Nothobranchius furzeri: one gene and its partners. The protein of the gene in region 3 interacts with the protein of the main gene of each other region in a pairwise test. Links are inferred from orthologs where the notes say so. Each region holds a gene or a part of one and is shown on either strand. Other genes may lie near its edges. The genes, in order: zbtb16a, hoxc4a, htt, pparg, txndc11, crmp1 and ttc23.

Region 1 (4,095 bases), on a different chromosome or scaffold from region 3:
AAGGAAAACCATTCGTGTTTAAAGTCAACAAGTGTTGCCAATTTGTCATATTTGCAGAACCATCAGCTCAATTACCGGTTATAGAATATGTGTATTTATTTAACCATGAAAGGATCCGGTTTATTATGTAAACGGGAAAAACGGGAAGCCGCTGGAGTCTCAAATTGCAAATATCCTGCAGGGCTGGTAAACAATCTGTGCAGCGGCATTGTTCTGGAGACCAGCGCCGAGTATTGACAGTATTTTCTGAAGGGAGACGATTTGTTAGCTGTCCAACAGGCTCATCCTGCATACCAATCAACCTGACATATGTTACGTTAAAAGATGTCTTCGTTTGCTTATCTGACGGGGACGTGCAGTTAAACAAGGGAGCATTGTGGGCTTTCACTGCTGCTTGGCTCGCAGGGACCGTCAGCAGCCTTCCCAACATTAAATAGCATCTTACTCAGTATTCCCATCACAGACGGGAGCAGAGAGCAGCGGCCAGACAGGGGTGGAAGAGAAAAGCAGGATGAGGCAAAAAGCACTGCTGCACTTAAACGCTCCGCTCGGCTCTCAGCCGCTGAAATCTCAAATGAATGAACATCTCTGTGGCTGCTGGTGATTTCATTATTCACGTTAACAGGGCAACGTGTTGCTCCACCTCATTACTGGAGCGCGTCTGACCCGCGCCAGATAAACCAGGACAGGTTCAGACTGAATTAGCAGAACGTGGACGTAAAACATAGACGCCTCTGGCTGCTTCTGGTTTAGTCTGGTTTAATGGTCTGCCCCACCGGAGGACGAAAGCATGAATGCTGGTTAACCACCTCAACTGACCCACATTCTGGGTGAACTCACTGATTCAGTCAGCTTCATGAGCAATGACAGAAACTTTTCAGCAGTTTTTAGTCAAAAAAGAAACGTGCAAATGCATCCTCAGCGTTTTAAAGCTGACTGCAGTTTACATGGAAATTCTGTCATTTTTCTTGTTTCCTCGCTCTGGCGCAGGAGACCATGGACGTAATCAGGTTTATGACCGGGTCCATCTTAAAAAGTGACTGGGTCTCAGTTGGTTTGGAGAAAAAAAATGAGTATCATCAGATAAAATCATCAAGGTATCAGCCTTAGAAATCAGAATCGGTGTATTTCATCTTTAACTTTAACACTTTAGAGCAGGATTTTACAAGTGCTTAATGTCATGATGAGAGTATCATAAAATATGCAGAAAAATAAAATATATAAGTTGAATTATTGCTTGAAACATAAAAACTTGGGAGAAAAATGACTACAAACCTGTCATTTTCTACTCAGAGCTGCGAGTTTAGATTAGAAAAAGCATCAGGCTAACCAAATAAATAAAAACCACTAATGATGAGCCCACAGGTCCCCATCTAACCGAGATCAGCCCCTTCACGCCTCCAGCACCACATTATCATCAGTAATGTTTGTGTCCCTGAACGTGATCGGTGCTTGTTGCGCGCATCGGAGCAGCCCAAACTTCCCATTCAGGCACTTGTGTCTGCTCTCCATTAATAGAGAGGAGCGTCTAGACAGCGCGCGGATGTTGGGCCAGCCGCTGCAGACCCATTCTACACGAGCATTACGCAAATCAGCAGACTACATTAAGTACATTAAGCCGGTGGAGATGGTGTCCCGCGAGGACAACGAGCAAATAAAGAGACTTCAGAGAGAGAGAGAGAGAGAGAGAGAGAGAGAGAGAGAGAGAGAGAGAGAGAGAGAGAGAAGCATCGGAATCGATCTGATCACGAGCTGTCTGCCGTCGCGCGCACTGACGAGCCGCAGCCACAACAAGAATAAACAGCGTTCAATAATCCAGCGCGAGAGCCGCACGGACGGACCCCAGGCGCGGGAGCGTTGTTATGGTCTGGTGGTGGGGGGTGTGGTGGTCATAAACGTGCACGCGAGCCTGGTTCCGGTCCGATCTGCGTGCAGGTGGCAGCTCCACATCTCGGTGAGGATGTGAAGGAGTGAAAGGGGAAGAGGAGGATCAGACACATTCGATAACAAATCCATTTGAATCAGTTACCAGCGCGCGCGCGCGCGGCGCGTGCAGCTCGATTATTGGGAACTAATCAAACATGTAGTTAGCTGTCAGTCAATCCCGCTCTGACAGCGCAGTCACGCTGGTTTGGTGCAACTGTCTCGAGCCGCCGTGATGTCACACCGCGGATTAATAAGAGGGGATAGGAATGGGACGTCACGCGCGCTTTACCGCTGCCATCGGTCCGTGGAAGGGACACGCAGCGCGGCGTCACGAGCCGCCTGGCTCCCGGTGAACACAGCCAGACCTCACGTCCTCTCGCCGCTCTCCAGAATACTAACCAGACAGGAGCGCGAGGAGGGGGCTTACGTCAACCCTAGCGCCTCCGCAATAGGCTGCCGTGCGTTAATGCAAACTTTAACACCTTGCAGCGCAATCAGGTAAACACTTGTTTTCAGCCGGGACTCGCTCAGGCGCGCGCGACCCACTGCCAAGTCGCTGGTAACTTCAGCACGAAAACGCACATGAAACCGGAAGGTCAGCCGAGGACGAGCGCAACAAACGCACCCAAAACATCCATATGGTGAATGAAAGTCCGCTAAATGAAGCACACGCGCGCGCAGGAGCGAGCCCGGCACTTGTCTCCGGGAAGCGGCAGCCGCGTGTCCGGTGTCGGTACTCACCTAAGTTGCAGGTTTGGAGTCCGTGTGGCGCGCGGGGGACTGGGGCTACAGCATAGTAAGGCAGTTCGCAGTACCCGCTCTCTCAACACGCACTAACTCCTTTCTTCTCTCGCCTTAGCGAATCAACACGCCGCTGACGTCAACGCAGCCAGACGAGCAGCAGGCGGGCGGGCGGCCGCCGCGGCGCTCCAGTCCGAGCAGAGAGAAAGTGAGACACCTAGGGGACTGTCTCCGGCCAAACGGGCGTGTTACTGGAGGCCAGGGAGAGGCGAGACGCGTCCTCGCCCACAGGAGCTGGGCTGAAGCTCCACAGGGACGGAGCTGGGCTTTAGAGGACCTCAGGGGTTCAGGAGTCACACCCCAACAAGTCCTGCTCACCACCCCCAGACTGGTTCCGACACAAAACCAAGAACTATCTGATCGTTTGAATCATTTCAGAATTCTGCTTTTTTAAATGTTTGGATTTGATGTATTTTTGATTCAATCAACTCTGTCTGAGGTCCGAGTTTGGCCGTCCTTCCGTCCCTGTTCTGCCTCAGTTTTCTTTTCCCCAAAACTATTTTCAAAGAGCCAAAATAAAGTTTTGGATTATTTAAAATGTAGAAAATCCCTGCAAACCGGAGCACTCGGATATCGAAACTAAATACTTCTGATGGTTTCCTGTGAGCCATCAGACCTGACTCACTGACCTAACATCAGTGTCTAAGCTCTGTAATTAGGTGGGAAGTGTTTTATGGAAAATGGCCTGTGTTTAATCTGGCACCAGTCCCAGAACCTGAATCAGCCATTCACACATTCACAGCTGGTGATGATGCGCTACATTGTGGCTACAGCTGCCCTTGCCCAAGGACACAACAGCAGCACTCTTTGCCAGGAGCTGAGATCGATCCTGCAACACCGCCAACCCGCTCCACCTCCTGCTGCCTTCATGTCTGTATCCACTACAACCCAGATTTATTTCATTTTCAATTCAAATATTTAAATATTAACTGCAACACTTTTAGATTTAAGCTCAGGTCTGCTGTCCAAACTCAAACCGAGATTTACTAAAATGCAATTTAACAAATTAAAAAAATGACAGAAGACTAAATAAAGTGCAGGACGTGAATAAACACAACTGCTTTATGTATTTTAGCAAAAATAAACCTTTATTTTTTGCCTTTTTTACTCAATCATTTATGAACAGATGTATTTGGAAAACATGATCAAAGCTGGGGTCATTTTTATAAAACAAACTGAATGTGCTGTCAGGTTTCAGTAGCATTTCACAATAAGTGACCCAAAGACGTGCAACAATCCTGAAGAAACGTCCTAACAGCACAGAGTTGGTCGTGTTTGCACACACGAATAAAAGAGATGAAACAAGTAGGAACAACTTCCTTTTAGGGGGTCACACGCGGATCAAAGCCATCAACATCCAAATCTGTA
Region 2 (4,175 bases), on a different chromosome or scaffold from region 3:
GGGGCTGATAAAGGAAGGCAGAGGAAGAGAGGAGCGGGAGGAGTGCAGGGAACATAAACACACAAGTTGCCTACCAGTGCTGACGTGAATTTTCTTCATCCATGGGTACACCACAGGCTGTTTGGAGGAGGCTGTGCTGTTTGGATGCTCCGGGGTAGCTTGGTTGCAGGCGGAGGTTGCAGCCGGTGGGGTGGCGGGGGACATGGACAACTGTGGGGTTTCACATGATGCAGGCTGCCCTTTTCCTGTCAGCAGGTGCGCAGAATGGGGTATTCCATGTCCCCTTGGCGTGTCGGGTTCAGGGATGCTTGCACAGTTAAACTGGCGGTCTTGGTAGCTCGCCCGCGGAGGATATAACTCCTGGTGGTGATGCTGGTAGCCAGAGTCCCTTGCGCGGCTGTAATATTCTGGACTATGCTCTGGGATGTAGTTATTTTGCGAATATTCCTCGCACGGAGGAAATTTCGGATCAATGTAGTTAGACTCCATCAAATACGAGCTCATGATCATTAATTTCTGGAGTGGAAAATAATTTTTCTAGCTTTGTCGTTTTTCTGCTCCATAAAGCCCTCCTACTTGCGAGCAGCCCTGTAAAGTTACTTTAACCACGTGACCCAGTAGCCCAATAGCAGAGGAAGAGGTAGTTCCCGGATACGGAACCAGAGGTATTTAGCATACCTACAGTCGCCATTGTGGGCACAAAGCTCTCTCTCTCCTCCTCTCCGCTTAGGTCTCTCTCTCCCTCCTTCTCCCTTACCTTCCCCCCTCTTCTCCTTTCTCCCCCTTTCTGGTTTTGTTACCAAGGCAATTGATCTTGGGGACAAAACTAGTAGCTGCTGACCAAGGAAAAAATAAAACAGGCAAAATGTGCAGCTCCCAATTATTCAAAGGGACAATGGTTCGCCAAGGATAAAGCACAACAAAAGAGAAACAATCATTTTGTTGGTTTGCACACCTTCTGCAAAGGTTATCTGCAAATTAATGAATGCAGAGTCTTTATCAACGTTGCTTCAGCTGGGAAAAAGATCACAATCCGGTAGGAATTAGAGCTGCTTGCAGAGTTCCCCTCTTTAGTCACATGATATTTAACTGGAAGAGGTTCTATAGAGTCACTGGACAGGTGAGGTGGCTGAAAGGTGTGACTAGATTTTCAAAATAGGTTTAATCATTTAAGGTGGACAGGCTAAATGTGCCAATTTAGCTGCAAGGAGTTTAAATGATCTCACATCTTCTATTAAGGCTCTTACTTAAAACTATGTGTGTTTAAAATTCTAATTTAGTCAGAAGTCAAATGTATTTACATCACGTTGCTTCATCAAATGATGTTTTGAATGCTCAGATCTACAGTCAACAACTTGATACATAAGAAAGGGAAATAAAATGCTAATCACTGAGCAGTTGGGCTTTAAAGCACACATGAAACACACAAGTATAAACATCATGTAAACTCACTTCTGCTTTTGAAAACATGACTCCTTAACAGAAAAGTGTCTGCATTTGTTAAATACAAAATCATTGAATACTGTATTTCTGCAGCACTATTGAAATAAATAAATAAATAAATAAATAAATAAATAAATAAATAAATAAATAAATAAATCTGTCTCAATACAACCAATCGTGTCTTTTTACCAAGAGTCCAAAACTAATATTGTGAATAATAGGGAGGAACGGAATTGCTGACTTAACCAGTTAATGATAAAAATCACAGTTTAGGGCAAAAAGTTGCATTAATGAACATTCTATTTTTTTTATTGACCAGATTTATTCTTTTCCCAGATTATGATGTCCAACTCAACCTAAAACACACATTTCTCCTATTTCTAAACACTAAACAGACTCTTTTCCTACATTCAAATGTAAAATGATGTGAGCTCAATAGACCACTACACAGTTAAATATTTTCGTGTGTGGTGTTAAATAGAGATAATGTATTGATGAAAAATACAGAAAATGCCTTAAGATAACACCAGATGATCGTGTGACATGTAAGTAAACACTCGGAAACAGCTATTTGAAGCATCTAAATATTTGGAACTACTTGGTGATATTTCATCGCAGCTGCCTGTTAGGGAAGCAGCCTTCAGATGTTAAGGCTAATCCTGACCCTGTAAACTGATGCTGCCTGGCTGTGTAAACCTGTCATGGGCTATGGCTTCCCATTATTATCTCAAAGGTATTCTCTCCTAATCTGATTCAATAATAATAATAATAATAATAATAATAATAATAATAATAATAAAGTTTTACATTTGTACTGAAGTGGGATATGAGTCAGTGTTTTGGTCAGCAGAACCACACAAGCCAGGGGATCTATTTCCAAAGCCATAATTACATAATAAGTTTAAAACGATATGAAAGTGCATATCATATTTCTGGCTGTACTGTTTGTAAAGAATGCTCACGACATTTCTATTACCCCTACAGAGGATGTTAGAGGCGTTTTATAGAGCAATAAAAGCCGTAAATCAGTCACTTTTAAATGACCCCTGGTTTCTAACGTGTTTTACAGGCTCTGACACAGTAGTAGCCGCACTCTGCGCACATGGCTCCGCTCTCTGTGGCCTAAACCCACACAATCCACGGCAGCGTGGATTATGAATACACTGTGACCGTGTTATTGCACTGCTACTGCCTGGGTGTATCCTGATGCTTGTTCATGCAAAGGCAGAAAGGAGGGAGGAGAAAGAAGAGCAGATGCAGAACAATCCATTGGCGTGGTATTTCAGTTGCCCATGTATTCCTGTAGAGACGTATTTGCGATTGTTGTTACTGCACGCAAATTCGGTTCTACAGGGTACATATAGACAACTACTGACGCTGCAGAGGTTGATCTGTCCGGGGGAAAACATGGAGGCAAGCAGGTTATCACATCTGACATCAGTGCATAACAAATTTCATGGCTGCAGTAGAGCAGAAACGCTCCAAAGCGCGTGCGTAAAAGCGAGACGAGGACATAAACAAATAGCTGCATGTTTGTTCTGCGGGTAAATATTTTCCCTAAATATATCAACGCACACACACTTGTGCACACACGCACACGCACACACACACACACACACACACACACACACACACGCACACGCACACACACACACACACACACACACACACACACACACACACACACACACACACACAGACAGACACACACACACACACACACACACACACACACACACACACACATACACACACACACACACAGTGTTTTCTTCTCAGCATTCTGCCTTTGCCTTTGAGGTCGCTCCTATATGAATATTCAGCCACAAACACGGAGCAGATACAAAAGGACGGCGTGACAGCACAGATGAAAAATAAGTTTCTATTGTTCCCAACCATTTCTTCTGCTCGCCATTACCATACTGACCGCTCGGTAACCTTTCTTCCTGACACTCTGGAAGCTAATGAGAAAAGCCTCGGATGAAAAATGCAATATTGGACATGTGACCTGCTTCGAGGTTATTAAAAACAGCAAACATGCTCAGATTGTGAATCAATGGAATTGATTACAGTGCAGATGCACATGGGATTTTAAACACTGACAGGGGAAAAGCTTCATCTACATATTCCACCATGCCTATTCGTCCTGTGATAAATATTTGATAGAATCGCTCTAAAAACACGTAAGAAAGGAAATAAAAATGGACATTAGAGCAAAAGAAAGAAATAAGAACAATAAAATGATAAAAACGGAAGTTTTTGGTTCTCGTGTTGCATTTAAATCTATGATGTTTGTTGTGTAGCCAGCCAACACACACACACACACACACACACACACATACACACACACACACACACACACACACACACACACGCCATGTGCTCAGGCGAACGCATTTTAATATTAGTTAGACAGCCTGACCCGCGTTTCACCCCTTGCGTTTGACTGGTTCCAATAGTTCACTGCCAAGGATTATTGATGGAGTGACAGCAATGAATTCTTTCTGCCCACAAATGGCTTTCAGATCATGCACCTAGTTCAATAACTAGTTATAATGTAAAAGTACAAAAAATGAGAGCCTGAGGCAGACTAATTTGATGTTTCATTTGTTCATTTGAGAAATTGTTAAGTTCTCTTCCACACCCCACATCCCCTTCTCACCCCAATTTCAGTTCAAAACAACAGTTGTACAATCATGTTCACACACTTACATTACAAACAAAATTCATCT
Region 3 (3,500 bases):
ACGTGTTAGGAGATCGTTTTGGGCCGCTGCTGTAAAAAAAGTGAGGTGCGAACCGGAAAAGCCTCTGCCGATCACAATTCAACAACGGATCATGAAAGAACGGATAACGCTCGAAACACGCGCATTCTTCCTGATGTAAGAGGTGAGTCTCCGCTTTGTTTTGGTAGTTTTGGCATCGACATCATGCTAGCGCGCGTTCTGTGACTCTTAAAAAAAAACCAGTAAAAACGGTGAGAAACGCTGGCAGTGAATGAGTTCATGAGGGACGACTGTTTGTGAAAGTTTGTTACATTTTGAATTCTGACTAAGATTCAACTGTTTTATCACACCCGTCGGGCTAATAAACACAGTTAGCGTGGAAATGTGGAAGTTAGAAAAATAAAAGCTGAAAAAGTGGAATTTGGGAATAAATAGAGGGTGTGATCAGGTCCTGGAGCAATAATGATGTTACTTGTTACGGCGTCCGGTTCATCGCCACACCAGAACGCTCAGAAACATCGTGATAAATGTTTTGGACCATCTCGCCCACAGCCGTAAACCCGTCTCATTAGCGAATCACCACTGTGTGCTACTGGCGGCCCGACCCCAGCCGGTTTACCTCAGCAGCCGTGCAGGTGAACGTGGTGATGAGCTGCTCCTTATCGGGGGGGATCTGCAACGATGGCGGCAGCTGGCCGACGCCCAGCAGGTACTGGGACAACGCTCGGCAGAGCGACAGAACCTTGGGATAAAAACTTGGATCATCTGGAAACAAAAGGATAAAAAAGGAAATTCCCGTTTCTTCTTTCCTTCATTCGTCTTGAGTCTTATTGCTCCGCCTCCTCACTCTCACCGTACACGCCACCCAGATGGTTCCAGTAAGGCTGCGGTTCCGGCGGTGGCAGGAAAGGCTGGTGTGGAACAGGAAGTGACCCCGTGACCTCTGCTAGTTGCTCAAGGGTCACCTGCAAGGCCGTGTCCAACAGGAGTGACCCCTGACCCCGCGTTAACCTCTGCAAGCCCACGCTCAGGCTCGGACACAACAGGCTCGGGTTGAAATCCTGCGTTCAGTAAGAATCATTACAAACAAAACTAAGCACCAGGAAGTGTTCCGATCCGCCCGTTTCCACGTCACCTTGCAGCTCATGGTGCTCAGGAGGTCCGGAGGAGGTAGTTTGGTCAGAAGTTCGGTCGTCTCCAAAAGACAAACGTCTCCGCGGAGACAGCACTGGGACTTCACAAGGGCCACGTACCATTCCTAAATAAAATCACAACAGCAGCCCAGTTTGACTGTTCTCATTCCAAAGTGAAAAATACAAAGCTGCAGTTTTCCTCTTTTCCCAGGATCACGGTTCCCTGGATGCTCCACAACTCATTCTGCAGATTTGTTGCTCCGTCCAGAATCTGAATCCTCACCTTGTCAGCCACGATCTTTTCCGGGGCGGGGGGTGGCTCCCCGTCTAAGGGGTGTGGTGTAACTGGAGGGGCGGGGCTAGCGGTGTCGGTCACAGTGGCTCTGAACCTGTCCAGCAGGGAGTAGAACCTCTGATGCCTGGCGGAGACGGGCAGAAGACAACATATTCTGTCATTTTTGAGTTTGAGCACAAAAATAATCAGCAGAGACGCTCTGATCCAGAACCGACGTTCTGGGAGGATACCTCTGGGCCAAACCGCTGGTCTGGAGATATTCCTGGATTCTTTCCAGCTCCTCCACAGGAAGCTGGGCGACGCTGTTCTAAAGGATCAACGCTGACTTTCAGTTTCACTGGTGGGATGCATTCCAGACCACTAGCACAATCCATCAGACAACCTGGTGAGCCTTACCTGCAGCGTCTCCGCCAGCAGCATCTCGACTCGGCGACACGCCAGCGTGTCGACCATGCGAGCTAGAACCCTGAAGGGAGTCCTGAGCAGCTTGTCCACATAGAGCATGAGCAGAGATCCGGACTGACTCAGGTGGATGCCTTCCAGACACTGCAGCGTCTTCTTTAACATGGTGGGCTGCACACACACACACATCAGTGAAGGACTCTGGGACGACAGGGAGGTAAGGAGTTAAAAGTCGCCATACCGTGGCGAGGTTGTCGCAGCGGGACTGGATGGCCTGGATGAAGAGGCCGCTGGCGGCTGAGTTTCGGTGAACAGCGCTGATGAAATCCTGGACAGGGGGCTCGTGGGAAAGGCTGATGAGGTCACGGACGTGGTTGACAATCAGCCAGGTCAGATGCTCCGAGTCGTGGAGGTTCTGACACTAAAAGTAAAAGACTTCATGTTAAAGTTGCTTCATCTTCATCCTGGCGGGAAAATCGAATCTCCTCCACACGTGTAAGTCTCACCACGTAATCACAGAAGAGAATTAAGGCTCCTCTGCGTACGATCTCCCGGTTGACCATGGCTAACTGGGACTCTGGGTTTTCTTCTTCCTCTTCCCCTGAGGAGTGAGGACTCAGCAGCTTTGTGGAGGACAGGCTGTGTCCCCTGGCAGGAAGTAGAAGACAAAAGCAGCCATTTTTAAAACATTAATAAGAAACACCAGGGGTGTTTCTCAATGTCAAGGCGCCTGGCCTTGCGAGGCGATGTCTCGCGAGGCCAGGCGCCTTGCTTACGAGGACACGGTCCTTCCTTGCAGGGTATATACAGCAATCCTTAAGTAAAATTTACTACTTTTTAATACTTTTTTTTACTACCTTCAGAATTTTTTTAAAACCATCACAACACTAAATTGCAAGTGTTAATCAGCGACCTATTTACACATATTTTAACATATATAACATACAAAAAGCATAGACTTAGAGACTCACTGATGTTGACAACGTATTGCGCATATTTATTTTACTTAGAAAATATGCCAGGCACTTCTTTTCAGCGGTTCAGACAGTTGACCACGGGGCCTGAAATGATGCAGAACGACCACTGAATATGACGTCATCATAATGTGACCGGATATGCTAAAGCAGGGCTGCTCAATTATGGCAAAAACAATAATCACGATTATTGTGACTGAAATTGAGATCTCGATTATTTAAGACGATTTTTCAATTTATGTAGATTTTTTAAATTTATTTTTATTCAGTCATAAAACTGCTCAGGGCACAATCAGGGCAAAAATAAACAAGAAACAAGATGATCACTAAAAGAACTCCTGATTCCCAGTATAAAAAGACCAATATACTTATAGCTCATAGTTTATGACCCAAGGGCTATAGACCTTGGTTTAACTCATTTAAGTCTAACCAGTACAGACCCAAATACCAATATCTTGCAAATACTGACAGCAAGAATTATACAGTGGCATTTATAACAAATAAATGCAAATAAATTAATGTTCACAAAATGTTGCATAACATTTATTTAGTCATGTCAAGGTGCTGTAGGAGAATACACCAGCACAGTGTCCTCAGAGAGATTAGTTATTAGTTATCAGCGTGAGGAACTTATTTCTACCTTATTTATAAACTATTTATTTACAAGTCCATCAGTTAATGTAATAATTGTCCCAACCACAGCTGCACCCCCCACCG
Region 4 (4,003 bases), on a different chromosome or scaffold from region 3:
AAGTCCCGTGTGATGTTGTGACTATCGCGCGACTTTCCAAGAAGTGTCCTGTGTGACCACTTGACTTCTCAAAATCTCGGGCGGCTCATTGGTATTGGCGGAGATTTTTAGACAAATGCAAGAGAACCACTTTGTTTTATGTATATATTTTATGTATTGTACATGTACCTTTGTTATTATTTTTCTTCAAATTATTCTCTTAAGTGTTGGTGGTGCTGTAACAAGTGAATTTCTCCACTGTGGGATCAAAAAAAGTCTATTCTATACTAGTTGTTTATTTATTTATTTATCATTCTCCACAAAATATGTATTGCTATACTATGTTTAAATGTTGTTAAGGGGCATGGAAACATGTTTTAAGCTAATTTGTTTTCCAAACTTGCCTTTGCAGCTTTAACTTGACTAAATATGCTAATATGAGGAAGTAGCTGGCCATGGCTAAAAGTGTGGCTAGTTAGCCACAAACCACAATTTAAAATGTGTTCAGCTTCCTATGAGCTCCATGCAGCTTTGATGTGCTGATAGGTGAGATCAACTTTAAAAAATACATTCATTTTATTACACTTATAGGTTGTTTCTTGGTGCATGCTGAGCCATATTTGACTTAATAAACAACAAATGTTTCCTAAAACATTAGTTTATGATTAGCTAGAAGATTTTGCAGTTTTTCTGAAAAATTCCGAGTTGATGCCAGATTAAAGAATTCATTTTGTGTGATGCTATTTCACTCATTAGGTGCCTTATAAGATCCACTCTCATAAATAAAAACTTGTAACAGTACCTGTGTTTTCTGCGCATAATAAATCAGTTTAAATAGATCCGATTAAGTAAATCGGAGCTTTAGAAGGTAATTTGACGCCTTTTTATGTGTCCTTAAATCCCTGGAGGTTGAGCCGAGAGGAGGGAGGGGAGAGACGCACCAGGCAAGGCTCACACACGCACCGTAGCAGCAGCAGGAGCTGAGCGCTCCACAGCGAACGGACCCGGACCCAACCACACTGCTGCGGCTGTTCGGTGCCCAAGCCCCCGGTTCCAGGGGGGAGGCGAGCTAAACACGACCGAGAAAGTGCGGTCCAACACCGGAAACGCAGCCCGTGGACTCTCTCTGTCCTCTGCGGTTCAACACACTGATCAGGTCAGTCACCCCCTTCTGAGTTCACTATTTATTGTGCTTGGAGTTGTGGCTGCTAGGAGTAATAAAACACTGCAAACGTCATAAAAAGTAAAGTAATTCAGAAGACTGGGTTTAAGTGTCTGCATCAGTTTTTGTGTCATTTTAAAACAATAAGGATAACTTTTAACTTTTTGATTTCATACTAAAGTTTTACTTTTTTCAAACATGTCGACTTAAGGTGGACACTTCCTAGAGAGTGACAAGTAGCCAGTGGCGTAGATTGGGGGTGGCGATAGAGAGGGGGTGCGGCCACAGGGCTGACAACTGGCATGCACGTCAGGAGTTGGTCCAGAGTGTGTCTCTGGGCCACAGTGCGAGTGTGAGCTTGACATGCAAACACCAGGCAGAGATTTTCACCATCTAAGTGGTCACATCTTCTCAGGTAAGACCAGGTGATGCCTGCTGTTGGGTTCTAGTGTTTTAGAGTGTGTGTGTGTGTGTGTGTGTGGGGGGGGGGGGGGGGGGGGGGTCACATGTGCTGATTCACTGTAGATTCTTCTACAGTAACTGCTACATAAGAGTTGTGACTCAGCTATAATAATGTAGACTGACACAGTCACTCCTGTTTTTTCCACTTTGGGTTTTGATGAATTAATTTTGAACTCATGTGGGGAATAAATCTGATCTGTTGGTTTATCCTTTAATGGGACTGATAATGGTGAAAACAAGCTGCAAAATGGAAACGTGTTATAGATATCAGTCAAAACAGTAATTATGATCAGAATATTTAATAAATGCTTAGCATTACCAGATGTAAATCATCACCTTTTACTCCCTTTTGACATTTTGCTCACTAAATTTGTGCTCGGTGTCATTTGTATTTTCTGTATTATGTTTTTTTCTTGGAACGTTATTTTAGTGTTACTTTTTTAAATGTACTTGTTTTGTTCTTATTTTAGTCAGAGTTGTGATCTGGCGATACACAACAAAACAATCACTTAATGTAGGCAAATATTTAGCTTCAGCAACTTTGTTTAAAATTTAGACTAATATCTTTAAATCGAGTTTTCTGTACTTCTGATTATCAATAAACTGCTGCAGGTCAAACTCTGTCAAAATGTCTCTAAATCAATAAATAGCATTTTAAAGGTTAACAAATTATTATTGGGTTTAAGCAAAATTGTCCATCAAACATTCCAGATGCGATAGGACGAGTTTATCACTAAGCTGATCATAGTTTATTATGTCCTTTTTTAAATGAGACAAAGCATAATACATTTTTTATTGAGTGATTAATTATCAAGGCGTGTTTTTGTATTTATAAATGCACCTTCAGGTAAAAGCATAAATATTACTTTTATTACAGCAGCAGCTTGGTTTATTTTAAGTATTATTTATTTGAATGCAAGCATTTTCATCAGCTATTCATTTGGAAGAAATTGAGTGCAGTCCTGAAAGTTTTGCCTCGGATTCTGGTGTCATAAATCTCATGCAGCTTGAATCAGTAATACTAGCTCAGGTAAAAAAACATCCTGTAATCTTTACATAAATGACTTAAAGTCTAACAGCAGCTTCGATACAGGCGTTGATGCAACTGCATGCCCTAAATCACTCATTTATCAGGTTATATAATTCTTAGAGTAAGGTGCGTCCATGTGTTTGTTGGTGCATGTGTGTATGAATGACTGAGACAGATTCGGACTTTGTTCTGTTGTCGTAAACGAAAGGAGTGCTTCAAGATACGTTGCTATTTCTTTGTTGTTGATCACTCGCTTTGTGGATAACACACCTGCACATAAAGCTATTTTAATTGTGTGCTAAAGAGTTCAAGTTACTTCTTGTCACTTATTGTCATTTTTGAAGCTTTCTATTGATGTAAAAGAAAGAAATATCAACTTTTTCTGCCACAACCTTTTGGAAGGTACTTCAGTCACCTACAGTTTTAAGAGCGAAATGTAATCGCAAAAGGAAGGAAGACTGTCTAAACATCTGTTTTTGCATAAACATTCAGATAAAAGAGAATGACATGCTCTGGATGAACCCACAGATAATTAACCACTTTTGCTTCTGCACTGCCAAAATCCTGCTTTGTTCATTTTAATTTCATGCAGTGAATAAGTGTTTTAAAAGGCTTTTCTGATTAGGTTTCATCAGATAATGCTGGCGTTTGAAGTGGTTTAACCCTAAGGTTGTCAATTTATTTTTAAATTAGGTGTAATTATTAACTTCAGGGCTATCATTTCATCATTTTCTGTCTACGAACCGCAACATTTTGGCTGCAGATGCAAACTTTTATTGACACCAAACAAAACTTTGGACACTGGCAAGTTGTTTGCTAATAAAACTTTTCTGTACTTGTTAATCTTTTGTACTTTGACAGAGAGATGTGTGATTAATTAAGTACGCATTTTGCTTTGGGCTCCAAAAGAATCATTATTAAAATTATTTTGTCATGTTCCGCTTTGAAAGTATCCTTCTATTTAGTCATGCCTCTTTTCATGGCACATATTTCCACAGTTATGTGACGTACAGTGTGTGATGTGCAACATAAAATACTCAATTACTTTCAGTTATGACCCAGCACTCACTATGGCATTGCAACCATTATTTATTTTCCATACAGTTCTTTTTCCAAGTATGGACACTCCTGGAAAAAACACATTTTGATTGCACTGTCTCCGTTTGGACTTCCAGGCTCCCGTGGCAGCTATTCTCATCTCTCAGCTTTGCTCTCAGTTCATCATAGTTTCTCCATGCAACCGATCAGTCAAGAAGAAAATTAGATTTGATAAGTTAGTATCTACATAGATTTCACACTAATGACTGAATGTTAGGTTTTTTTAATTATATTTGATGATAAGCTCTATGATGAATTAATTTTGGTTTCAT
Region 5 (3,427 bases), on a different chromosome or scaffold from region 3:
TAAAACAATGACTTTGACTTTTTGTTTTCAATCAAAAAAAATAAAATAAAAAGAACAAATGATACAGATTCATCTTCTCTGCCCTGTTTTAAAGCTCTTTCTAAAACCCATTTGTGGGCTTGCTTTGAGTTTTAACCATCGACATAATATACGTTTTAACGTGGCATGAGTCATTTAGTTTTTATGCTGTTTTTTATTCCGTTTTAATTCTGTGGAGCCCTTTGGTCAGTTTGATGCTGTTGAAAGGTGTTACAAATAAATTTGACTTGTCTAAACGAAGATGGATAACGATCTGTTCAGTTTGCAGCAGTACACGACCCTGCTGCTTTAGATTAGGGATGTTACATTTATTATTTTCTACACGGGAAAACAGAATTCAGGAATGTGGTCTTCCCTGCATCTTGCAAATCCTCCAAACTTCTCATCGATGCATTACTCATGTGATGAAGCTCAATTTTGTGTTTAAGAACCACAACAAAGCACACAAAAAAAGACTGAAATACGAAAAGATTTTTTATCAGAAAAAGTGGTGCAATATTTCACATGTAAACACACCTGCAGCAGTTCAATCTTAATACCTGAATAGTTACATAGAAATATTTTAGTGACTCGAATGTTTGTAAAATCAGTGTAACAAACTCATCATTAAAACCCCTTCATAAAAAAAATCTGAAATATTTTAAGTGCTCCTAAAACAGTCAATTTACTTTTCTTTGTTCAAAAGCTCTCCTGATTCATTTAAAAGCAAAATAAGCCTTTTTTTCCATCTCCTGCAAATGATTAAATTTTTAAGAGAAAGCCTGTGCAGAGTGCTGGATAATGAAAAAGGAAAATTCACCAAAATAATCCAAGCATGAGTGTAAATGATTCCAATCATTAGTGATAAAACTGATAAAAGCATGCAGCGAACTGCTTTCAACGTTCATTATAACCAATATAAAGTTGACATGATGTGGAATTTTCAAAATAAAAGTATCTGTATGCATTTTAATCCTCAGTGAGTATATTTATTTGCTTTTGAAAGAAGCCCAAAACTTCATTTAACACAACAGAAATATTAAGAAAAAACTCATTTGTGCCCCACATTTCTAATAATTAAAGATCCTTTTTTTCACCAACATTTTAGTTAAGTACGCTCACTGTAGACACCTTCACTAAAAAAATATGTTTCCAAAATTCAAACAAATCTGAGAACAGACTTATTTTGTGGCACGACTGTCGTAGTGTTGATTTGATGCACTTAGGTTTCTAATAATGCGGGGGGGGGGGGTGCAGCATCAGAACAGAAAAGTGCAGATAGGTTTGAATTTCCAAAACTAGCATGCTTCCATGAGCGCTTCCAAAGCACTTTGTAGGATTTTTCCCCCCGTGACATTGATCAGGTCCTCACCCCGCCCAAACAGAAATCTGCTCTTTTTTATTTGGGTTTTACTCGTCCAATCACAGCTTTTTCTCCTCCCCCCTCTTTCCTTCACTTCCAGGCTTTGTTTCTGTTCCCTTCATGAGGTCATTTGGCCTTTTTTCTGTTCTGTCTGTTTTGTTTCCTCCTTAGTCTGCTCCGTAGCCTGTGTCCTGTCCTTCAGCGCCTTCAGAAGGATCCTGAGTAGTGTGTTCTCATTCAGCAGGGTTTCAGATGTGTCCACCAGCTCCTCCAGCCGCCTCAAAGCTTCCGCCAGCTGCTGGCTTTTCTCCTGGAGCTGCTTCTCCAAGCTTTCCTCAATGCTGCGTTTGTCAAATTTCAGTTGTCGGTAATCGCGCCAAAGCTGCGCCAGCTGTTGGGAGAGACGCTCGCGGGCGAGATGTAGAGTTTGAACTTCTCGTTGGAGAGCCAGAAATTCTGCGTGGAGGACGGCACTGGCTCCTTTCCTCTGTGCCTCATCTGGTTTGTCTTCATGACGTAAAGAGTCAGAATGCTTCAGGATGAAGCGAAGGAGATTGGGTAATGTGACCGGAAGCTCTTCTGGAAACTTCACACTAAGGTGTTTTCTAAAAGAGAAGCAAGAATGACAAACGCACAGTCTAAAGTAAGAAATAGGAGTGAAGTAGCATTTTTTATAAAGCAACATTTTATTTTTCTATCCGTTTCTTGGTGAGAGGAATGTTCTTGTTTTCCTCCCTTCAAGCAGGAAAAAGCGTCTAATGTGGAAAAAGAGTAACAATAGATTTACTGTAGTGACAGAAAAAAAGGTCTACGCTATTAAAAACAGAGAAACATACCGACAGTACAAATGATGCTATAAATAAAAAAATTACTATTCTATCACGATTTTATTTTACATATTAGGAGGCGTCACACTGGTTCTTACCTGTATCTGGGAAACAGAAGGATGGAGGGAACATGATCCACCATGAACTCCCAGGGAAGGTCGTTGCGTGCCACGTTCACCCTGAACAGAGTCGTGTGGACACATTGACATGTTTGTTTCTGTGATTGGCAGCTTTTATGGAAATTTTATATTTCATTACTTTAGTCCTATTAACAATGTCCTGAAAGCATTCTCACACACACACACACACACACACACACACACCCACACTCACACTCTCTCACACATATGATCCACTCCCATTCCTTTCTTATCTTTTTGTATAAATTAACTCTGTGACCAGATGTTCGGGGCATTTGCCCTGTGCACTTGCCACAAATCATGATTTGGTTGTATGTCTGCCTTATTGTCTCTTGTCCCTCTCTCTAGCTGCAGGAAATGGGTTTATTGATAAACATATTGATAAAATCCCTAACAGCAGCGATCAGACTACTGAGTCCATCAGAACCAGACTGCACCTGGCCACGGTGATGGTGCGGTTTCCCTGCAGTAATCTGGCCAGCCGGATGATGACGTGGTTCAAAACGGAGCAGAACCCACACCACTGGGTATAGTAGAACAGCAACACATCCTAAAAACACACATGACATCATCTTTATTATTTAAGAGTGTAATCTGACTTCTGTATCTAGAACCCTGAGACCAGCGTATTCCCTCACCTTTTGATGGTCCATGATGGAGGGCAGGAAGGAGGAAGTGGTCAACTCTGTGATGAAGAGATGTGAGGGAGAGTGCTGGGGCTCGTCTGGATGCTTGGCTTCATCTCCACCTTGCCTCCTGTCTTCCACCCCTACCAAATGTCTCTGCAGGAGGCTGAACGGAGCGCTGAAGTTCCTAATGAAGGCCTCTTTAAGGAGACACATCATAAACAGATATCAGCTGATGCTTGTGCTCGAATAAAACCAAACCAACATGAACTGATCACGTTACGACTGTTCTAGTGGTATTTAAACTGGTCCAGTCAATTGTTATTTATTTGATCATGATGAAATCCTCCACGATAACAACAATGATCTTTACTGATGGGTTGGGTCTGGATGAGTCATTCTGTCTAAAACATTTAAACCAAGAGCCTTTTGTTTGAAGCCAAACATGTGGTT
Region 6 (3,500 bases), on a different chromosome or scaffold from region 3:
TGTGTTCCAACTACAGGGAGATCACACTCCTGAGCCTTCCTGGTAAGGTCTATTCAGAGGTTCTGGAGAGGAGGGTCCGTCGGATTGTTGAACCTCAAATTCAGGAGGAGCAATGTGGTTTTCGTCCTGGCCGTGGAACACTGGACCAGCTCTATACCCTTAGGGGGATGCTGGAGGGTGCGTGGGAATTTGCCCAACCAGTCTACATGTGTTTTGTGGATTTGGAGAAGGCGTTTGACCGCGTCCCTCAGGGGACCCTGTGGGGGTACTCCGGGAGTATGGGGTACCAGGCCCTCTGATACGGGCTGTTAGGTCCCTGTATGACCGGTGTCAGAGCTTGGTCCGCATTGCCGGCAGTAAGTCGGGCTTGAGAATCAGCTCCTCTAAATCTGAGACCATAGTCTTGATTCAGAAAAGGGTAGAATGCCTTCTCCGAGTCAGGGAGGAGGTCCTGCCCCAAGTGGAGGAGTTTAAGTATCTCGGGATCTTGTTCACGAGTGAGGGAAAACTGGAGCGTGAGATCGATAGGTGGATTGGTGCTGCATCTGCAGTGATGCGGGCGTTGTACCGGTCTGTCGTGGTGAAGAGAGAGCTGAGTCAGAAGGTGAAGCTCTCGATTTACCGGCCGATCTACGTTCCTACCCTCACCTATGGTCATGAGCTTTGGGTAGTGACCTAAAGAATGAGATCGCGGATACAAACGGCCGAAATGACTTTTCTCCGAAGAGTGGCTGGGCTCTCCCTTAGAGATAGGGTGAGAAGCTCGGTCATTCGGGAGGGGCTCGGAGTAGACCCGCTGCTCCTCCACATCGAGAGGAGCCAGTTGAGGTGTCTTGGGCATCTGGTCAGGATGCCTCCTGGACGCCTCCCTGGTGAGGTTTTCTGGGCACGTCCAACCAGTAGGAGGCCTAAAGGTAGACCCAGGACACGGTGGAGGGACAATGTCTCTCACCTGGCCAGGGAACGCCTTGGGATTACCCTGGAGGAGCTGGCCCAAGTGGCTGGGGAGAGGGAAGTCTGGGCCTCTCGCCTTAGGCTGCTGCCCCCGTGACCCGACTCCGGATAAGTGGATGAAAATGGTTGGATGGATGGATGGATGGATGGATGGATGATTGGTTAGGGTTAGCACTCTTCTTCCTGACTGTCCTCCATCCATCTCCCTTTTTCTTCCCAAGTTCTCACCGACTGCTGGAGTTTCGCTGTGATGGTTTTGACACTGTCAGGGTCCCAGATGACGATGTCAGCGTCGGAGCCTGCAGCAATGCGTCCCTTACGTGGGTACAGGTTAAAGATCTTCGCAGCGTTGGTTGATGTGACTGCAACAAACTGGTTCTCATCCATCTTCCCCATGGCCTGAGTGTCATAGAAGTCGATATTAACTCTGTTACAAACTCACAGCCACACTGTCAGGAACCCTCCTTACCACAGCCTTGTCCCACACAAAACCCATCCTCTCCTCCACTCCGTTGACTCCTTCTGGGATCAGTGTGAAGTCATCTCTACCGATCGCCTTCTGGGAGGTGCTGTACGCACAGTGAGAGCTGCCCACCACCTGGAGGTCCCCGCTGTGGACACGAAACACAGTGACTCAAGTATTTGATGATCAATGTGAAATGTCCACAGCAGGAGGCAAAATCAGGAACCAAACTAAAAAAAAAAAGTTTTCATGCTGATCATTTGGTTAAAGCAGGGGTGTCCAATCCTGGTCCTGGAGGGCCGGTAACCAGCAGGTTTTGTGGTTTTTCTGCTTCAACACGCTTGATTAGCTGGTGGAATCACCTGTGCAGCAGCTCATCAGGCTCTGCAGAAGCCTGTTAATCACCTGCTGATTGAAATCAGGTGTGTTGAAGCAGGTTAAAACGAAAACGTGCTGGATACCGGCCCTCGAGGACCAGGATTGGACACGCCTGGGTTAAAAGGGTTTTTGTTATTGATAAATCAGCCACTAGGTGTCCTCAGTGAGCCTGTAATTTAATGTGCACATCATGAGGAGGTTTGGTGTTTAAAACCAGTCAGCTGAAAGTGTCAGAATGGTGCAACACAGCTGCAGTGCTGCTGTCTAGAGCCTCTGTTAATACATACATATGCACTGCATTATTAAAACACCAGCAACACACACACACACCCATTCTACCTCTTACTGTACAAGAGAAGAGTGTTTATCATAATCTTTGGTGTGAGGCCTGTAATTTACTCATTGATCATAGTGATTATTCTCGGCTGTATGATCATCATCCTAACGCAAAGCGATTGCTTATTATAGCAATAATGAGCCAGCGTAATAAAGTGTTCACATCTCTCAATAGGAACCTGAAAATAACTCTGTCATTTCAGAGGACGCTGGAGGAAAACAGCGGTGTTAAACCCTCAGAGCAGCATGAGAAGCTGCAGTTGTGGATCAAGTGTGGCTAAGCAGAGAGGAGGACAAAGAGGAAGAGGAGGAGGAGGAGGGAGACGCTTGGTAGCCAAGACAGCAGATGATGAGTTACTCTAGGTCCATGTGCTATTTATGGAATCGAGGGCACTTTGAAAGTGTGCAGCTGGAAGTTGCTGGTGTGTGTGTGTGTGTGTGTGTGTGTGTGTGTGTGTGTGTGTGTGTGTGTGTGTGTGTGTGTGTGTGTGTGTGTGTGTGTGTGTGTGTGTGTGTGTGTGTGTGTGTGTGTGTGTGTGTGTGTTGCTCCTAACCTTAACACAGTTACATCCTAATTAATCCTAATCCGACACAATCGTTTACACATCTGGACTTGTTTCAGAATCAGAAGTCTGCTATGAGTCAGAGATAAGTAAAACCATCTAGAGGTGAAAAAGGATGGTAGTTAAAATGGTTTGGGTCATATATTTTAAATAATGAAATCAGTATCTGCAGTTCATGCCTGATCTTTATTATTCACAGCTTGTGATGCGAAAGACTTTCAGCTAAAAGCACATCTTAGTTCAGCTCCACATCTGTATAACAGACCGAGCTGTAGCCATCTTTGAGTGTTATTATTTGTCATTTTCATAAAGATTAGTTTTACTTTTCATTAATTTACCTGATAAAATGTTGTTACTAAAGTCCTTGTCTTTTTGAACATTTCTCTTCCTTTTGTACATTTTTAATCTTTTTTTTTTTAAGTTCAAAGTGAAGGCTGCACATTTTCAGAGTCATGCAAAACGTTTTTCAGGAAATACAAAACATCTCAACTGCAGAGCAAAAGGAAAAGCTCGATCTGAAACTTTAAAATCCATCCATAAACCTGACGGATGTGAAAGACACCCTGCAGATCTGGTTTGTGTAAAAATATGAAAAATTGAGGTTTTAGCCTTAACTCGGCAGAATCGAGCTTTAAACATGTGCAAGTCATGAAATCTGGCCCCTCGTTCAGCGGGAGTTGAGGAGGGGAGGTCATAACAGATGTGTTGTCCTTCGCTGCAGAGGTCAAACTACCTTCAAACGTCCACTTTCACTTTTCCTCCGTTTGTCCTTTTCACTGATCAGATTTTTATTCTGCATCACACTA
Region 7 (3,500 bases), on a different chromosome or scaffold from region 3:
TGCCTGACTCCTATACCGCTGTCTTAAAGAACTTAATGCAACATCTAGATCCTAATTAGCCCCCTGTGTGAATCACTGTAACCTTGCCTCTGTCAGTGAATAAACTCACCATTGTGATGAGGCTCTGCTGCAGAAGAAAGGATCATGGCCAGGCAGTGGGAGATCTGAGCCCCCTCTAGACCCTCTGGACTATGACTCACAGCAATGGCATGAGCCTGTCAGAAACACGCATGTCCAACAAGACAGATCAACTAAATAAGAGTACAAGAGTGTGTGTTGCTACTCACCTTGGAGAGATGCTCTATGGTTTGATCCACCTGACCTCTGTCCTGTTCAATGGCGGCCATGTCCTTATAAACAGCAGAAGTCTTTTCTGGCTTATTGCACTCCTTCAGCAGCCGCAGAGACTTTTCACACTGATTCAATGCCTCCTCTGGTCGGCCCTGTCTCTTATAGACACTATAGGACATATGGGACATTTAAAAAGACAAAAGGGACAGTATACATAAGAGAAAATATAATTAAATGACAGCAGAACATGTCTATCCTTATTCACCTCCACATAATAATTATTAAAAAAAACAGCACAGCAGTAATATCATTTTACATTTCGCCACATTTTGTTTAGTTTACAATATAGCCCAGGAAGAGATGCCAGTTATCACGTCATTGTGAATTGGTTTCATAAAACTGCAGTAAATCTCCAGCCAAGCTGAGGAAAGAGTTGGCCCATGGCTGCAGTTAACACTCAACACGGTACAACTGTAACAAACTTTGATTGAATCCACTCATAAGGATATTACTCAAGGATGTCTAAATGAGGGAATGCTTTTGGAGGGTAAAGAGAAATCATCTAAGCAGATGTGACACTCTATAAAAACACAGATTTTTGTTTGTGCTATCCTGGATGGCTGAAAAAGGCTGCTGTGCTAACAGCTTCAAATGGACTATATTTAATCCAGCTCTCCAAGAAATGGGTTGGCCTTCCTCAGAGGGCAAAATGGTCACCGCTGAACAATCTGAACAGAAAATATTGAAAGAACTCAGCTTCTGCACTGTATTGTATTTTAAAACAGGTCACATGTTTGATTTAGGTTTGATTTAGAATCCAGACTCAAAAATAATCTAAGATCCTTTTTTTAGACATTTACTTTAAGTATTTGTGGCTCAGTCACTTTAAAGCAACAGGTTACGTAAACAATACAAAAGTTTAGATTCCCATGAGTCTAAGTTTATATTAATATGCTTTGATGGACAGAAGGAGTTCCCCACCCATGAATGGTTTTTGGGCTGGCATTTCAGACCATTTTAGGACACTTTTTCTTATTTTTGCCAGGTTAATGTCTGCAGCCTCTGCACCTTGGCAGACAGGCAATTTAATGCAGAGTCCAAAAGACAGGAATTTAATATGATTAAGGATTTGTAGATGTGCTGCCAAGCAAGCCACACTGTGCTCTATTGTAAATGTTTCCAGACGATGGCTGACGTGCATTTGCTACATTTTCTACAGGAAAATGAAACAGAAGGGACAAAAACACAACAGCTTGTGCATGCAGGTGAAGAAGAAAATGTATTACCACAAATATGGTTCCAACTAAAAGAATGGCTACCTCTGAATTCAATAGACTAAATTTGGGCAGATTTCAAAGGTGTGGAACACTGAAAAAACATTTTTAAATGTTGTTTTGGATTATTATTGGTCACTCTGAGATTTTCATGCATGCTGAACATGAAAATAGTCTCTTACACCCATCTCTGCCTTAGCTTCTGATAGAAAACAGAAGGTGAAACTCTAGGATTAAAAATCCTCACAGGTCTACATCACACCGTGACTTAACATTCAACTCATGGGAAATCAGTTGTTGGTTTAGCGTCCAGGAAACAGCAGAGAACGTCTCGGCTAGTTTAAGCTAACCGTTAGCTTTAGCCACTTTAGTTCACAGAAGAAATCCTCTGGGCTTGTGTTATCTGTGGAGATAAAACATCCATGTTCCAAGTCAGTGGCAGAGTTGTGTTGCTGTTATCCAGTGACGTGCGGTCAGAGGAGGCAGGGGAGGCACTGCCTCCCTTGTCAGTGTGACAAGTAAAATTCTAATAATGATTTAAAATAAAGTCAGTGTATCCACTGACTGGTTTATACATTAGTTTTCTGTATGATTTCATCAGTTTCATGGTAAAAATTGCTGAATCTCTGGGGAGACAGACGAGCCTGCCTCTGCTCTCACGGAGCTGCCTCACACGCATTAACTGATTCAGGCATAATGCATGCTCCAACTTCCTGTATCAAGGGTATGCAGCGCTAAATCAAACCAACAAAACATTTAATTCAAAGTCAAAAATAAAACACAAGCTTCTATTTCAGGATCATTTATTCCAAAGCAGTCAGTGCCTCCCCAGCCATGAACCTCACCGCACGTCACTGCTGTTATCCAATGTGAATAAACAAGTAATTCACTCCCTTAAAGTAATTAAATATTGTCCAAAGGTCACATTGACGTATTATTATGAAGAGAATTATTATTTTTAATAATCAGCTTCTCAAACACTGACTACAGTCCTCTATTAATTATTTCCAGTGCTTATGTAATTACTTTCACTGTTTCTAAAAAATACCATTTCTTACTTAAATTACAAATGAAGGAAAGAGCAATCTGAAAATGCGTTGCAATCCCCTAATAGCTTCCTTTTCTCATTGTGCACATTAATTATTCAGAGTTTAGGAGTGACAGGCAGATGTTTAAATGGCCCAAAAGCTGCTGATTTAAAAAGCAGCTGAAAAGTCACCTGTTCAAGCTGGTTTTGGTGTGACCTTCATCGCCCTCTCCTTGTTCTGCTCTCCCCACCTATTCCACCCTCAGGATCCACTGATTTCCCTCTTTCCTATTCACTCCCTCTCTTTCTTTACATTTTTTAATCACAAATGTCCATTTTTTGCTCATTATAAATATATTTTTAATGATTTTCTAAATTATTTTTTATATTTTACATTTATTGTTTTTGTGAAGCGCCTTGTGATTTTTATCTTGAGAGGTGCTGTAGAAAAGATATTTTCTTCTTCTGATTTGTGGATAAAGGTTTTAAAAGTCTTTACGATTGCATATTATATCACTTAAAAATAGTACAATGAAAATATCTCATTCAGCCAAAAGGAAAAGTTATACAGTTCTGTTCTTATTAAAGTAAATTATTTATCATAATTGACAGATTTAAGGGTTTACACAGATATCTTCCTAAGTTTATAAACCAAACCTTTTGTTGCTATATGCAGAATCTAAATGGCAAAACAAAAGAAACGTTGACGCAAAATCCATTAATCTAAGTTAAATTCTAAGATTTACCCTCAAATATTTTCATGCCACTATTAGAAGCTCAGTTGAAACTGTTCAGTCAACATTGTTACAGTGGCTATAGCAAATTTGGAAAAGAAATTAGCTTAAAATGGTTTTTTTCATGCCTCAAAGGGACTTAACAGAGTTTTGAATTTTTATGCTCGCGATTGT

Evidence for each region.
Region 1: the proteins of htt (region 3) and zbtb16a interact in binary tests that used the Homo sapiens proteins (3 or more experiments, as listed by UniProt). The link is inferred for Nothobranchius furzeri from reciprocal best matches to the Homo sapiens genes HTT and ZBTB16.
Region 2: the proteins of htt (region 3) and hoxc4a interact in binary tests that used the Homo sapiens proteins (3 or more experiments, as listed by UniProt). The link is inferred for Nothobranchius furzeri from reciprocal best matches to the Homo sapiens genes HTT and HOXC4.
Region 4: the proteins of htt (region 3) and pparg interact in binary tests that used the Homo sapiens proteins (3 or more experiments, as listed by UniProt). The link is inferred for Nothobranchius furzeri from reciprocal best matches to the Homo sapiens genes HTT and PPARG.
Region 5: the proteins of htt (region 3) and txndc11 interact in binary tests that used the Homo sapiens proteins (3 or more experiments, as listed by UniProt). The link is inferred for Nothobranchius furzeri from reciprocal best matches to the Homo sapiens genes HTT and TXNDC11.
Region 6: the proteins of htt (region 3) and crmp1 interact in binary tests that used the Homo sapiens proteins (3 or more experiments, as listed by UniProt). The link is inferred for Nothobranchius furzeri from reciprocal best matches to the Homo sapiens genes HTT and CRMP1.
Region 7: the proteins of htt (region 3) and ttc23 interact in binary tests that used the Homo sapiens proteins (3 or more experiments, as listed by UniProt). The link is inferred for Nothobranchius furzeri from reciprocal best matches to the Homo sapiens genes HTT and TTC23.

What each region holds. Positions count from the first base shown.
Region 1 is NC_091750.1:30,173,795-30,177,889, reverse strand, and holds the start of zbtb16a (zinc finger and BTB domain-containing protein 16-A), read right to left. Parts: upstream 2,801-4,095; 5' UTR 2,668-2,800; intron 1-2,667. UniProt on the Homo sapiens protein: Acts as a transcriptional repressor. Transcriptional repression may be mediated through recruitment of histone deacetylases to target promoters. May play a role in myeloid maturation and in the development and/or maintenance of other differentiated tissues.
Region 2 is NC_091755.1:25,844,131-25,848,305, forward strand, and holds the start of hoxc4a (homeobox protein Hox-C4a), read right to left. Parts: upstream 2,801-4,175; 5' UTR 511-2,800; coding exon 75-510; intron 1-74. UniProt on the Homo sapiens protein: Sequence-specific transcription factor which is part of a developmental regulatory system that provides cells with specific positional identities on the anterior-posterior axis.
Region 3 is NC_091746.1:25,540,601-25,544,100, reverse strand, and holds part of htt (huntingtin), read right to left. Parts: intron 2,458-3,500; coding exon 2,316-2,457; intron 2,231-2,315; coding exon 2,051-2,230; intron 1,981-2,050; coding exon 1,804-1,980; intron 1,715-1,803; coding exon 1,638-1,714; intron 1,532-1,637; coding exon 1,396-1,531; intron 1,238-1,395; coding exon 1,115-1,237; intron 1,041-1,114; coding exon 833-1,040; intron 745-832; coding exon 599-744; intron 1-598.
Region 4 is NC_091743.1:63,419,906-63,423,908, forward strand, and holds the start of pparg (peroxisome proliferator-activated receptor gamma), read left to right. Parts: upstream 1-1,203; 5' UTR 1,204-1,504; coding exon 1,505-1,556; intron 1,557-4,003. UniProt on the Homo sapiens protein: Nuclear receptor that binds peroxisome proliferators such as hypolipidemic drugs and fatty acids.
Region 5 is NC_091744.1:14,534,559-14,537,985, forward strand, and holds the end of txndc11 (thioredoxin domain-containing protein 11), read right to left. Parts: intron 3,175-3,427; coding exon 2,987-3,174; intron 2,899-2,986; coding exon 2,786-2,898; intron 2,388-2,785; coding exon 2,307-2,387; intron 1,987-2,306; coding exon 1,500-1,986; 3' UTR 501-1,499; downstream 1-500. UniProt on the Homo sapiens protein: May act as a redox regulator involved in DUOX proteins folding. The interaction with DUOX1 and DUOX2 suggest that it belongs to a multiprotein complex constituting the thyroid H(2)O(2) generating system.
Region 6 is NC_091747.1:78,390,003-78,393,502, forward strand, and holds part of crmp1 (dihydropyrimidinase-related protein 1), read right to left. Parts: intron 1,566-3,500; coding exon 1,424-1,565; intron 1,354-1,423; coding exon 1,183-1,353; intron 1-1,182.
Region 7 is NC_091744.1:70,192,242-70,195,741, reverse strand, and holds part of ttc23 (tetratricopeptide repeat protein 23), read right to left. Parts: intron 460-3,500; coding exon 288-459; intron 216-287; coding exon 110-215; intron 1-109. UniProt on the Homo sapiens protein: Participates positively in the ciliary Hedgehog (Hh) signaling.